Linked DNA regions of Mus musculus. The protein of the gene in region 3 purifies or fractionates together with the protein of the main gene of each other region. This does not show direct contact. Links are inferred from orthologs where the notes say so. Each region holds a gene or a part of one and is shown on either strand. Other genes may lie near its edges.

Region 1 (4,198 bases), on a different chromosome or scaffold from region 3:
TAGAGCATTACCTCAGGGGTCATTACCTCAGGGGTCATTACCTCAGGGGTCAATACCTCAGGGGTCATTACCTCAGGGCTCATACTCATTCCCAACAAAGTCTTAAACACTGAGTATACTTGTGGTCTAGCTGACATTGCTAGTGGTATCATAGTAGAGGCTACTGCTAAAATTTCACCAATGGAAACGAAGCCAATAAAGAATTGGAGAGATTTGATGGGCCGGTTAACGATCATAATCAAAAAGAGTAAAACTATTGGATCATTTATTGAGATACTCTTTGCTTGAGTTTTTAATATCCTCTGGTTGACACAATGATGCAATCCAAACTTCCAGGAGTCCAACCTCTTAGGCAGGGAGTGACACGATTTTGGGTGATGCCGCTAGGTAAGCAAGGGCATATTTATAACCCTGACAAACAGGTACTAGACAGGAGCATTATCTAACTTTGCCACCTATTTAGGCCAGATGTTCCTTTTGTGATAAAAAGCTGGAATGATGCCTGCTGTCAGGCTTCATGAACAGTATGTATGTTGGAGGTGGGTGGGGTGTACTCATTATTCCTTCTGAAGAAGACGCGATCTTTTCTCAAACATCTCTCTCTTTCCAAACATTTGGGCTAAATTTATGTTAAAATTCAAAGCAAGCAGATTTAATGCCGGAGACAAATGATGGCACACAACTTTCCAACTCTGAGCATCTTCCTGGTATGTGGGCGAATGTCATTTCTGGGTACAACGATGCCATCAGAATATTAGTAAGAGAGGCCGACAAGAAATGTTTACAGACTGATAGCAGAACACACTAGCTGTTCCTTTATCTTGCCTCCACCTGACCCTTGAACACGGTGACAAGGACATTTTTACCCCAGGTCAACTGCAGAGACAAAGGCCATACGTTATTATTGCACTTCAATTCTCCTCACCTCTGTTTCCGGAGAGGATTTATAAACAGGCTAGAGCAGTGGTTTCCAAAGTAGGAAAGATGGAAAGATATTCCCTTCCCAAGCTCATCGAATTTTCCCTTCCTATTCTAGGAGACGTTTCTTTCTTTTTTTTTTTTTTTTCAAAATGTCCTTGGCTTTGTCTTTACCTGAGCTTGTATGAAAAGTCCTCTGTGCCACTCCTCTGCCAGCCTCACAGGAAAGGAAAGCCTCCCTGGGAGGGTCAGCTAGGAAAGGACAGCGTGGGAAACCCGAGGAAGCGGCCTCCAAGCAGCCAGTGCCGGCCCTGCGCGGTCGGGTTCCCGGCGCGGCCCCTTTAAGAGCAGGCCCCGTCCCCGCCCTCCTCCTGGCGGGGCTGGCGCTCGGTGGTGGCCGCTACGGTGCTGACAAGATGGCGGCTGGCGGGGCTGTTGCTGTGGCGCCGGAGTGCCGGCTTCTGCCCTACGCGCTGCATAAGTGGAGCTCCTTCTCCTCCACCTACCTTCCCGAGTAAGTGCGGGGCCCCGCGCTCGAGCTGTCGGAGCCGCTCGGTGAGAGCGCGGCCCGCCAGAGCGTGCGGTGTGGGGAGCGGAGCCGAGAGAGGCCCAGGCGGGGCCTGTGACGGGGAACGCGCGGCCTCCGGAGCTTCTCAGTGCGGCGGCCGAGTGCTCCGGCCTGGCGGGCCGAGGCCGGGCTGAGGGCCCGGGAGCGAGCTCCGGGTGGCGGCGGCGAGGCGGGCTTGCGCAGCGGGAGGTGAGGCGGAGCGGAGCGGGGCTCCGGGCCCGGGCCGCGGGCGAGCCTCCCCCGCCGTCGGAGGTGGTCAGGGCGACGACGGGGGCCCGGTCCTTCCCGGACGGCTCGGACAGCGCCGGAGTTCCTGAGCCCGCAGTAAAAGTGCTTAGCTCTGCACGAGTGGCGAGAGAAGTTGGGGAGTCCATCCGCACCCTGGCGAGAACTTGGAGGACTGGCAGAGGGGTGTCTTGGCTTTTTTTGGACGGGGGGGGGGGCTGGAAGTTCTGAAAAAGATAGGGAAGGAGGGCAGGTCTGGGGGCGTGCGGCTTGCCCGAGGGCACCACCAAGTCAGCAGAAATGGCCTTAGGAACACAACGAGGAACGGGTGCAGTTTTCCGTTGCTATTCGAATAAAATTGCTACATCTCCGGAGTGTCCTGAACAGGGAGTGTGTTCCATTCGTATTTTTAAAATTCCTCCCGTTTGTTCAGATTGGATTTCTCGAGTCCAGTCGGTCAGGACTCTGGAAGTTGAAGCTGCGGGTGAAGAGTCAGCCTCCGCGGACTGCCCACCTGCCCTCCTCCTAGTCACCAGGTCAAGGGTTGGCACTGAAGCCTTGTAGCTCCCGCCCAATGAAGGCTGACCTGTGGTCTGATCTGGCCGGTTGTGGCCTGTTGATAGCTGGTACATGGCCACATCTCTGATTGATATTGGAACCCAGCTTTTAATTTGAGGGTGAGCTGGATAAGCACCGACCTTCATTTGAAGTGGACTTGTGGCTGTTCATTCTGTAAACCTCTGTTTTTTTGTTTTTTGTTTTTGTTTTTTTTTGGTAGTTTTTTCTTTTGGAGGTGTGTGTGTGGTTGTTTGTTTTGGAGGCCTTTTTAAGGTTGTTTGTTTTGACTGACTCCTTTGAATCTGAAGATAACATTTTTTTTTGTGTCTAGGTTAGAGAGTTGGTGGTGTGTCACTAACTACCTCGAATGACTTTTTCCACCCCCAGGTCTTTGGTTAGATAACTTACACTTTAGGTTGTCTGCCATCGCTTTACCTTCTGGTGTAGGCATGAGACTGGGATAGCCCAAATCCCAGTTGCATTACCTGTTGTATGGGCATGTTAAGGAGAGAGGCATTTCTAAAAGGAGTCTTGATCTGGTGGGATAGTGGTTTTAGTCAGCCTCCAGTTTGGAGTGGGGACAGCACCTGCTGTTCCAGTTGGACTGCAGCTGGAAGAAGCCATTGCTATAGCTTCCTTAAGGCCACAGAGAAAACAGTTTATTTGCACTTAGTACTTGCACTTAGTGTATCTTGTTTAACCACAAAGACATTTCAAACATATAGTATAGTTTTAATTTTAAAGCCCTTTAGAGTTAAGCAGTCCGGAGTGAAGGAGTGCAGATGAGCATTAGGAAGCTTGGGTTTGAGAACTTTGTTAGGCAGGCTGGTGTGTGTCTGCCTTAGTTGTAAAATTCTTGGTTCTGAACTTAGGTTAGCAAGTATACGTCTTTGTATGACAGGAAGTTTAAGAAAGAGATTGGTTTCCCCGCCCCCTAAAATGACCTCTAATGGGGTGAAACAGTGGAAGGTATTATGAAATGTCTCAAGCAGGTGTGATTTTTTTTTAAGGTCTAGCCAGCTATTTGTTGAAATTGTTCAGCAAAGAACAAATATTTATTGATAGAAATCTAGGCATTTTGGGGTGATGGTAATAATTACAAAAAATGGCAATTACTTATGCCTTTCACATGCTAATCTTTATGAATACTTCAAGTGTTTTAGCTCATTTAAACCTTAACAGTCTTCTAAAGAATCCCAAAAAACTGGGCATGGTGTTGGGCCTGGATGGAGATGCCTGTAATGCAAGCCCTTAGGAAGCAGAAGCAGGAGAATGACAAGTGTAAGGCATCCTGGGCGACATAGTAAAGTAAGGCCAGCCTGGGCTGTGAGATCTGTGTTGTCACCTGTGACCTCAGATCTCCATTTTCCAGATGAGCAAACAGGGATGAGAGGTTCAAATTTGCCTCTGGTCATCCACCTAGGTGAGGACAGAGCTGAATCCAGAGGACCTGCTCCACAGTTCTCCACCCAGTGTGCTTTCTTGACTGCTTTTGTCTGAGGGTTTGTAGAGATTAGAGGGGATTCTGTTAAAGGCGCTTGTGTTAAGTTGTTTATAGACACATACCGGCTGGAGAGAGTTTGTGAACAAGCTTGAGGACCTGAGTTCAAATGCTAACATAGACAGTCTTCAGTCTTGTATGGTGCACTTGTGACCCCATTGCTCTTGGTGGGGTAGAGACGGGAGGATCCCTGGGGCTAACTGGGTACCAGCTTCTAGGTTCAGCGAGAAAAGGAACAAGGCAGAGAGTGATAGAGTAGGCTACCCTGGGTCCTCCTCTGGCCTCTCGGGTGCACAAACACAGTTATCTCTGTACACATAGGTGCATATATACTACATATGGCTAGAACCCTCCCTCCCACCCCCATGAAGTCATGAAAAGGATTTCAATCTCAGATTTCTTTCTAGGACTTCTATTTTTTTTCTAAT
Region 2 (4,444 bases), on a different chromosome or scaffold from region 3:
TTAGTTGCTTCAAGAAACCCGCAATCATTTCTGAGTTCGAGGCCTGGTCTACAAAGTGAGTTCCAGGACAGCCAGGGCTATACAGAGAAACCCTGTCTCGAAAAACCAAAAAAAAAGAAGAAGAAGAAGAAGAAGAAGAAAAAGAAAAAAAGAAACCCGCAATCAAATACCAAAGCATGTTTATCTTTATCTTCACTCAAAAGAAACAAGACTGCCTTAAGAACCTGACCTAATATCCGTATGTATTTCTTTCGTGTTTAACTACTTTTCATTACTTAATTCTAGTCAACTGATTAAAGGAAAATAACAGATGCCACAGAGGCATTGTTACACAGAAATGTTTAAAAAAAAAAAAAGAGGCTGCCAATCAAGAACAAGCCCCACTACCTGTTATAACAGCATGGTATATACACTGTGCCTACTACCCCTCACACCACAGGCTTTGTGAAACATTCCCTTACTAGCAAAGAGGCCTAAAATCCCTGACCTGGCAATTTTTACAATCATTTTAACCATCTGGAACTGACTGCAACTTCCCTAAAACAAACCTCACCACCACTTCTCCTCTTCCATAATCACTCTTCTGGAAAGGACTCTGTTCTCTATCTTTTCTCTCTCAAGCAACCCCTCAATCTCTGACCTGGTCCCCCAAAAGGGAGTATTCCTTCTGCCTCTCCAGGTGTAGGCCCTATGTTCATTCTCGTCCCCTACTGGCTTTCTCCTTTTCGGTCAAAAGACAAAGATGTCCTCTGGGAAAGGGGGGTGTTCGGTGTCTTTAAGCCCTGAGCTAGGACCACCTTGGATTGACTGCCTTCTACTTCGGTATGCACTATTTTTTTCTTAGCCTGAAATAATCTGGTTTGTCCACAAAATGTCAAGTACCAGCTAAGCAGCTCTCTTTTTATCCTTTTCTGCCCTTTTCATTTCTGCTCTACTTTGGTTGTGTTTAGAGCCTAAGATCTTTCATCTCACATCCTATGATCTCCACTGTCCTTCTAGAAATATCTGAAAACACAGAGGGGCACACTGGGAATCCCAACACTAGAAAGATGAAGACAAGATTATAAATTCAAAGCTGGCTTGGGCCACACAGAGAGATTTTACCTCAAAACACCACAAGCAAAAGAAAACAACCAATTTTAGCTCACATATATTCCAAGAATATCTATATCTATCCATATATGTGTGTATGTATATATGTAATATATATATATATATATTATATATACACCTCACATATATTCAAACCCTTTAATCTCATGAGTCAAAATTCAACAGATTTTCTCACACCCCACCTTATTCTGTTAGCATCAAGTATACCATCACCATCAATTCAGTCAAATAATCTTTTCGCATGAAGCCATCAACATGTTTTGCATATATTTATACAGCGTTCCAAAGTGACAGCTGTGTCAGAAGTTGTCAGACTCCTTTACCAGGGAGGAGCAGTCACCCACAACTGAAGTGTTTGGGAAATAAAGGTGTAGAGGAAAGGAGAGGAGAGGCAGGGCTAACACTGCCTTAATCTCACCTGCTACATCCTCATTTCTCCCTGACTAATAAATATCCCTTTAATTTCTGTTCAGCCCACAAAACTGACAAGGGCCCGGACTCTTGAGTAAATCCATAATATTACAAGTCCTTTATCTCTCATTCAGAAAGAGTCAGCATTGTGGCTCCAAGGTACCAGACCTTTAGTGTTATTTTTAAAACACAAAACTCTTTCTCAGAGTTAGCCTTGGCATCTGTGGTACAAGACGTAGGGCCACTGATGAAATAACGTAGGCAAAACACCTTCTACGGAAAAGCTGTTTTCTGAAAGGATTATTAACAAGTACAAACTGGACTAGGTAAGTAACTAGCAACTCGACATCTGCCCGGTCGGACTGTACAGAGGCTACAGCAGGGACGCTGAATGGTTTAAATCGGCCGGCTTCCTAGGAAGAGTTTAGAAGAACTGCCTGCCCACATCAGTCCAACTCTGAAGTTGCAGCAGCCGATGATGTAGAAACCAACCCACAGCTAAGAACGTTAAACTAAGAACCATCAGGGAGAAAAGTCTGCGAGGCCGAAAACTAGACAAAGTCCTGCGCAGACCCTCGTTATCACTCGCACACCTGCGGCCCGCAGGACCCCGCAAGACCCCCAGCCCCGCCCCAGGCCACCGCGTTTCCGGGCGGGTCGCCGCGGCCTGGGGACCAGCAGACGCAGCGCAGGGCCCCGACCCCCGCGCGCCCACGCGCCCGCCCTCACCGTGGCTCTGCAGGATCTCGTGCTTGAGGCCGCCGGTGTAGTCGATGAGCTCCTCCAGGCCCCGCTCGCACAGCTGCCCGTAGCCCGAGAACTTGTGCAGCACCTTCTCCAGCTCGCGCTCCACCGTCACGCACTGATCCATGCCGGAGACCGCGGCGCTCGGCTCCCCGGCGCCCGGGGGTCCGCAGTGGTTCGGCCCGGGCCCCACCGAGGCCGCGTCCTGCTCCTCCTCCCCCAAGGCGGCGAGCGGGCGGCGCGGGAGGCGAAGGCAAGACGGGCGCGCTAGCCGCGGCGCCGGGGGAGCCCCGCGCAGCCTGTGCCCTCCCGCCCCATGGCGCCCCGGCCCCGCCGCTCGCGCTCGCTCGCCCGCCCTACCCGGCGCCGCGTCTCGCCCCGGGCCCCCCTGGCTCGCCGCGTTCGGCCGCCCCTCGGCGGCGCCGCCGATTGTTTTTGTTTTCACGGGAACCGGCCGATGACCTGGTTCTCCCGGGCGGCACCAATAGCCGCGGCCCGGGAGGGGGTCGAGCCTCCCTCACGAGCGGAGGAGGCGGCGCGGGCCGTACCAATCGCGGACTCGGCGAGGGGTCAGGGGGAAGCAGCGGGCGAGCACGGGCGGAGGGCGCGCGGGCGTTCTGAAGGTGTGGGCCGTACCACGCGGGAGGCCGTGAGGGAGCGCGGCGAGGGCGGGGCGAGGGCGGGGCGAGCGACGCAATTGGCCCGCGCAGCTGAACAGGGAACTTTAGCGATAGCGTCAACTACGCGGCCGGTAAACAAGAGGGTGGAAACCGTCCCCGGATGCTCCGCCCAGAAGCAGAAGAGTGACCAATCGACGCGGGGGTTAGGAGCGAGACAAACATCCTCCAATCCTGGGCCGAGGCGTAAAACTTCAGCCAATCCAGACTGAGGAGCCAAACCAATGCGCTCGCTGTTGGAGGGGGGTTGGCTTGAAGAGCGGAGCTTGGCGCTTCTACTGGGAAGCCGCGAGGGGAAACATGACAGCAATTAACGGGGCTGTTTTCTCCAGGATTTCGCCCTGATTGCAATTTGTGTTTTCTCCGCATGGAATTTTGGCCGGAGTTTCGACTGAGAGGCCCACCTCCGGGGCCAAAGGATGTCTGTCTGGCCGCCTAGTGGCGGAGGGCCCGGGCGGGGTCACTAACCCGATGGAAGGTGGTAGCTCTTAGAGGGATGGCCCGCGCCCAGCGTTGGCTCGTTCTTGACGCCCCTCGGCCTGCAAGTGGCCTTCCCTGTCGCCTTGTCCACGTGCTGGGCATCTTGGCGGCGGTCACGAACACGCGTGGGCGAGCTGAGCAACCTGGCCCTTGCTCCTTGCCCTTACCTTGGCGTAGGGCTTTTGCCCTGGTTTACCACGGGGTTCTGGCCTTGGCCTGTGCCCTCTTGCTCACCAGGCTTCTACCCTACTAGCTTTTCGTCAAGTCCCTGCCTCACAGCCTGGGCCTGGGAGAGTCCGCCTTCCTGGGCCTGCAGTTGCCAGCTTGCTTGCCTGCTCATAGCATTCCTACTTCCACCATGGTTGTATCACCTCTGCCTCCCCGAATTTTCTCCATCAATTCATTGTATCTCTTACAGCACAATTTTTTTTTTCTCTCACACATCACTTGTCAAAGTCTAAAATAATAATTGTTTGGAGTTTTGCTTGTTTTGGTTGCACCACTTAAGTAATACTATGAAGGGTAACCCCTTTTGTTGTGGCCTGTTTGTTTCTAGAACACAGCCAGCACCCTGGTGGACAGTCTTTCTTTTCCTTTAATTCAGGTGGTAACCTTTTTAAAGTTCAATTTCCGTTTTTATAATGTGGCAGCTAGTGGGCGGGTGGTTATATATGATGGCCTTTAGTGGTCCTGGATATTTGGAAGTTCAGCTGATGGTATTTCAGGGCTCCTTTCTGTCCCTCATCACGCCATTTGCTTTTAGTCCTCTTTCTTGGCAGATGGCCCTGATTCCTACTTCTCGAAAATAAAAAACCTTTTAGCTCCATCAATCTTGCCATTCTCCTCAAAAGGTTTTCTAGCTACCATCCATTTTGTGAAAATACTCAGGCATCCAAAAGAAGAAAGGGCCCTCTTCCTTTGTAAAACAAGCCCGAGGGTGCCTGGCATCATCTTACTGCTGTCTAGAGCGTCCTTGCCTGGCTGTACTTTAGTTCTTCCTGCTTGGGGATGGAGTGGAC
Region 3 (3,757 bases):
TTAACAAAAGATACAAATATGCTAGCTATCTGGTACTTTTTCATATAAGAAAAGATCTTATGTATAATATAGCCTTGGCTGGACTGGAAAAACCCTTCCTCAGCCTTGTAAATGCTGTAATTGCAGGCAGGAGCCACCATGCCTGGCTTTATATGGTGCTTTAAAAACAAACACTTAATCTTCGATACTCCTTCCCAACTTCTGTTTCATTTAATCTATTAGCTACCTGAAAATTAAAACTTCCTTTTCCTCTGCCTTAAAAAAAGACGTGTGTGTATGTGTGTGTGTGTTCTTGTGCCTGCCTGCCTATGTGTATGTGGAGGCCAAAGAGGACATCAGATTCCTTGGAACTGAAGTGACAGGAATTTGGGGGATGCCTGACTTTTCTGGGTGCCGGACTCTGGTCTTCATGATTATTTGTCATGTCTTCTTAACCAAAGGCACGTCTCTCCTGAAACTCCTCTACCTTATTCTTATCCTTACCCCAGATGGGAGGTTACATCTCACAATGATGTTAAAAAGCCACCTGTCCAGGAGGTAAGGAAAGCTCTGCTCACTCCTTACTCACAGACCAGAAGAGCAGTGCAGGGTCATAATGACAGCAACAACTTCATCCTTGAGTCTGTCACTAATGTGATCCTAAGGCAAATACTGCCAAAGTACCTGCCCTCTGCAGTAGAAGCAGAGAGCTGGAAGACACTTCATTCCATCCCAACAAGAACAGAATCCTGTGGGTAAAAAACAGATACCAATGAACAATACTGAAGTAGGGAACAAGATAGAGACAGCTGGTCAGCTGTGTTATCTGAGCAGCTCAGGTGCCAGAAAACTTTTGAATAAATGTAGTCTGACCTAGCTAGTCAATATTGCTCAAGAACAACGAAACAACCGGGCGTGGTGGCGCACAACTTTAATCCTAGCACTCAGGAGGCAGAGGCAGGCAGATTTCTGAGTTCGAGTCCAGCCTAGTCTACAGAGTGAGTTCCAGGACAGCCAGGGCTATATAGAGAAACCCTGTCTCAGAAAACCAAAAAAAAAAAAAAAAAAAAAAAAAAAAAGAACAAGGGAAACAATCCCAATTCAGTAATTACTAAGAACAGTGTTTCTTAATGGCCAGTACCAGAACTCCTGGCTCTAGTGTCAGACAGGCAGGAACTTCCACCAAAGGACAGTACCCACATCATCTTCACCATCCACATCCATGGATAACTGTCTGAGGGCTTTGCAGGTTTGTGCACCCCCACCCCAGCCTTTAGCACTGACACCATCAGGCCTGGACCACTGCCAAAAATCAAACACACCGGTGTCAGGCACAATACATGTATACACTCATCACTCAGAGCACCGACCTACATGTGCATACCATACCCTACAGGTAATGTCTTTTCTGCCTTCCACTGAGCAGGTAAAAAATGGCTGATGAGAAGCAGGACACACAGCACTGCTGACACTGAAGGAAGAGATAAGAAATGACTTAAGTTCAATCTGGCTAGCATGAACATCCAGCTGGGTAATGCCAGCCAGTCATCCCATCAACACCAGGCTGCTTTGCTATTTATTACGCAGGGCATTCCCTAGGCACATGGCAATTAGTCTTTCAGCTGTGAGTTAAGGTGCTGCCCCTGTGCAAGGTAAAGGACACCCAAAACAAGGGCTGTGTGAGATGAGAACTTTTTAGAAGCCATTGTGGTTATTCTGGAAGTAAAAGGAAATCTTTATTTTCAAATAAAGTTACCTACAAGAGATTATTCATTGATCCACTATGAATGAGTCTCTCATCACATACAGCACCAAAAATATATTTTAAAAAATAAAAACCACCACAACCTCACCTCTCTCACACACATCCCCTCCCAAAAGCCACACAGCCCACACCAAGACAAAAAACCGATCCAAACTCAATACCCACACAAAAGTTATCTTTGAATTAAGATTTACAAATTTATACATTTTTTTCCTATGAAGGAACAAAATGAGGAAGAAAAAGAAAAGAAGGGGTAAGGAAAACCATGAAAGTCTGTGAGACCCAGGAAGATAACCCCTGCCTGCCTGCACATAGCAGGTCGGAAAAGCACATCAGTAATGTTCATGTCTGTCTGCCTGTCTTGGGTGAGGCCTTCAGCTGAGATGACACTCCCTAGCCGTGCAGCACACAGTGGCAAATTACATCTTCTGGAACCAGCAATCTGGAAGCAGTGTGTGCAGCTCTCGGGATACAGGGCATGGCAGAGGTGGTGTCTTCCATCATGGGCTTGACAGGGTTTAAAAAGGCCATTTTCCCCTTTTAAACAATGGGGCCAAAGAAAAGTACAGGGGAAAGGTTCTCTACTGTGGTGACAATCTGCCAGTCACAGCCGGAGGAGGGAGAGTCCTGTGCCTATTGACAGTGCTGGGTCCATGCACAGGCTCTACTTGGGCTCCTCAATCACACCTTTGCTGAGGTCTGTCATTTTGGGATATTTTACTTTCTTCTGGTCTAGCTCATTCTGAGCCCAAAGTAGCAGTTTCAGTAATTTTGCCAGCTTGGGTGTGGACTCTCGATTCTCATAATCCAGAACAGCCTGGTTAACTTCACTCCATACCTAGAAAAGAAACACATCTAATAGAGATGCCCCCCCCCCCCCCACATACATACACTATCAGCAAGCCTGACAATATGCTTAAGACATCTTTTTTTCCCCCAGTGCTAGGGCGAGACCCCAGGTTCTTAAGCAGGTTAGGCAAGCACTCTATCTCTAAGCTATATAGTCCAGTCCATCTAGATACTGTTCTCATCCAAGATGCTTGTTAGTCACTTAAAAACAAATGAAACAAGTAACTAAAAGCCACTCCAAGGGCACTAAATGACTTAGGGTGGCTAAGTACCCTGACTCCCCTCAACAGTTCTGTGAGGACTCTGACAGAGAGGAGCTTCACAATGCTTATATGAGACCCTGCAGACAAGCTTTAAAGAGACACCTCAACAAGATTTTCAACGGATCCAACATAGGGGGAAAGGAAGACATGGGTCTTAGGAAGCAGTGAACTATCATGCTTGTAGCATGTGGAAGGAAAAAGAAAACATTTCAGGAGACTATACTGATTTTACTCTGAAAATACTTCAGATACCTGTCTCTAAACTGATAGGAAAAAGGTTAAGAGAAGAAAAAGTGGCAAAGGGTTTTAGACACTAACAGTCACAATGGCGCTGCTCTTCCTCTCACAAGGTAAAAGGGGACAGATCAGTGGAGCTGCCAGTGTTCTACTGGAGTATCCTGGCCCAGAGCCATGTGCTTCACCCCAACACAAGCGCAGCACAGTACCATCTTTTCACAAGTCCTCTGAGTGTCTAAGCACTCTGTTCTTCCTTTACTGGCCCTTTACCTTTTGCCTCTGCATCATGTGAAGGAGGTCTCCAAAAGGCGACTCCTCAGGGCTATCGAAGGCCAGCAAGGCCAGTGTGCGCTCCATCTCTGTGAGGCATTCTCGGCTTTCCTCACCCTGCTCTGCCAGTTGTGTCTGGGCAAACTCCAATGCTGCTTCTGTCTCACGCTGACGGATAAGCTCAATCAAGTGTTGTTGCTAGTCAAAACAAAGACAAACAAGATTAGCCAGCCTGTACACCCAGTAGGTGGAACCCAGTATGGTCAACAGCAAAGACAACCAAGTTTGGCTGGCATACACTTAGATGAATAACCATCAACACTTGGCTCCAATCAAAAGTATATCTTATGTGTGGATTGAGTGTCTAACTAATAGTGTTAAAGTACTTGTTTAG

Evidence for each region. The genes of interacting proteins can lie anywhere in the genome.
Region 1: the proteins of Gid8 (region 3) and Mkln1 purify together in Homo sapiens (affinity purification with mass spectrometry; 4 studies listed by BioGRID and IntAct, with this or other methods). This does not show direct contact. The link is inferred for Mus musculus from reciprocal best matches to the Homo sapiens genes GID8 and MKLN1.
Region 2: the proteins of Gid8 (region 3) and Rmnd5a purify together in Homo sapiens (affinity purification with mass spectrometry; 5 studies listed by BioGRID and IntAct, counting the BioPlex papers as one, with this or other methods). This does not show direct contact. The link is inferred for Mus musculus from reciprocal best matches to the Homo sapiens genes GID8 and RMND5A.

The regions. Positions count from the first base shown.
Region 1 is NC_000072.6:31,397,523-31,401,720, forward strand, and holds the start of Mkln1 (muskelin), read left to right. Parts: upstream 1-1,305; 5' UTR 1,306-1,334; coding exon 1,335-1,432; exon of another isoform or gene 1,433-1,675; intron 1,676-4,198. UniProt on the Homo sapiens protein: Component of the CTLH E3 ubiquitin-protein ligase complex that selectively accepts ubiquitin from UBE2H and mediates ubiquitination and subsequent proteasomal degradation of the transcription factor HBP1.
Region 2 is NC_000072.6:71,437,745-71,442,188, forward strand, and holds the start of Rmnd5a (E3 ubiquitin-protein ligase RMND5A), read right to left. Parts: upstream 2,894-4,444; 5' UTR 2,396-2,893; coding exon 2,254-2,395; intron 1-2,253.
Region 3 is NC_000068.7:180,716,663-180,720,419, reverse strand, and holds part of Gid8 (glucose-induced degradation protein 8 homolog), read right to left. Parts: intron 3,562-3,757; coding exon 3,364-3,561; intron 2,583-3,363; coding exon 2,409-2,582; 3' UTR 1-2,408. UniProt on the Homo sapiens protein: Core component of the CTLH E3 ubiquitin-protein ligase complex that selectively accepts ubiquitin from UBE2H and mediates ubiquitination and subsequent proteasomal degradation of the transcription factor HBP1.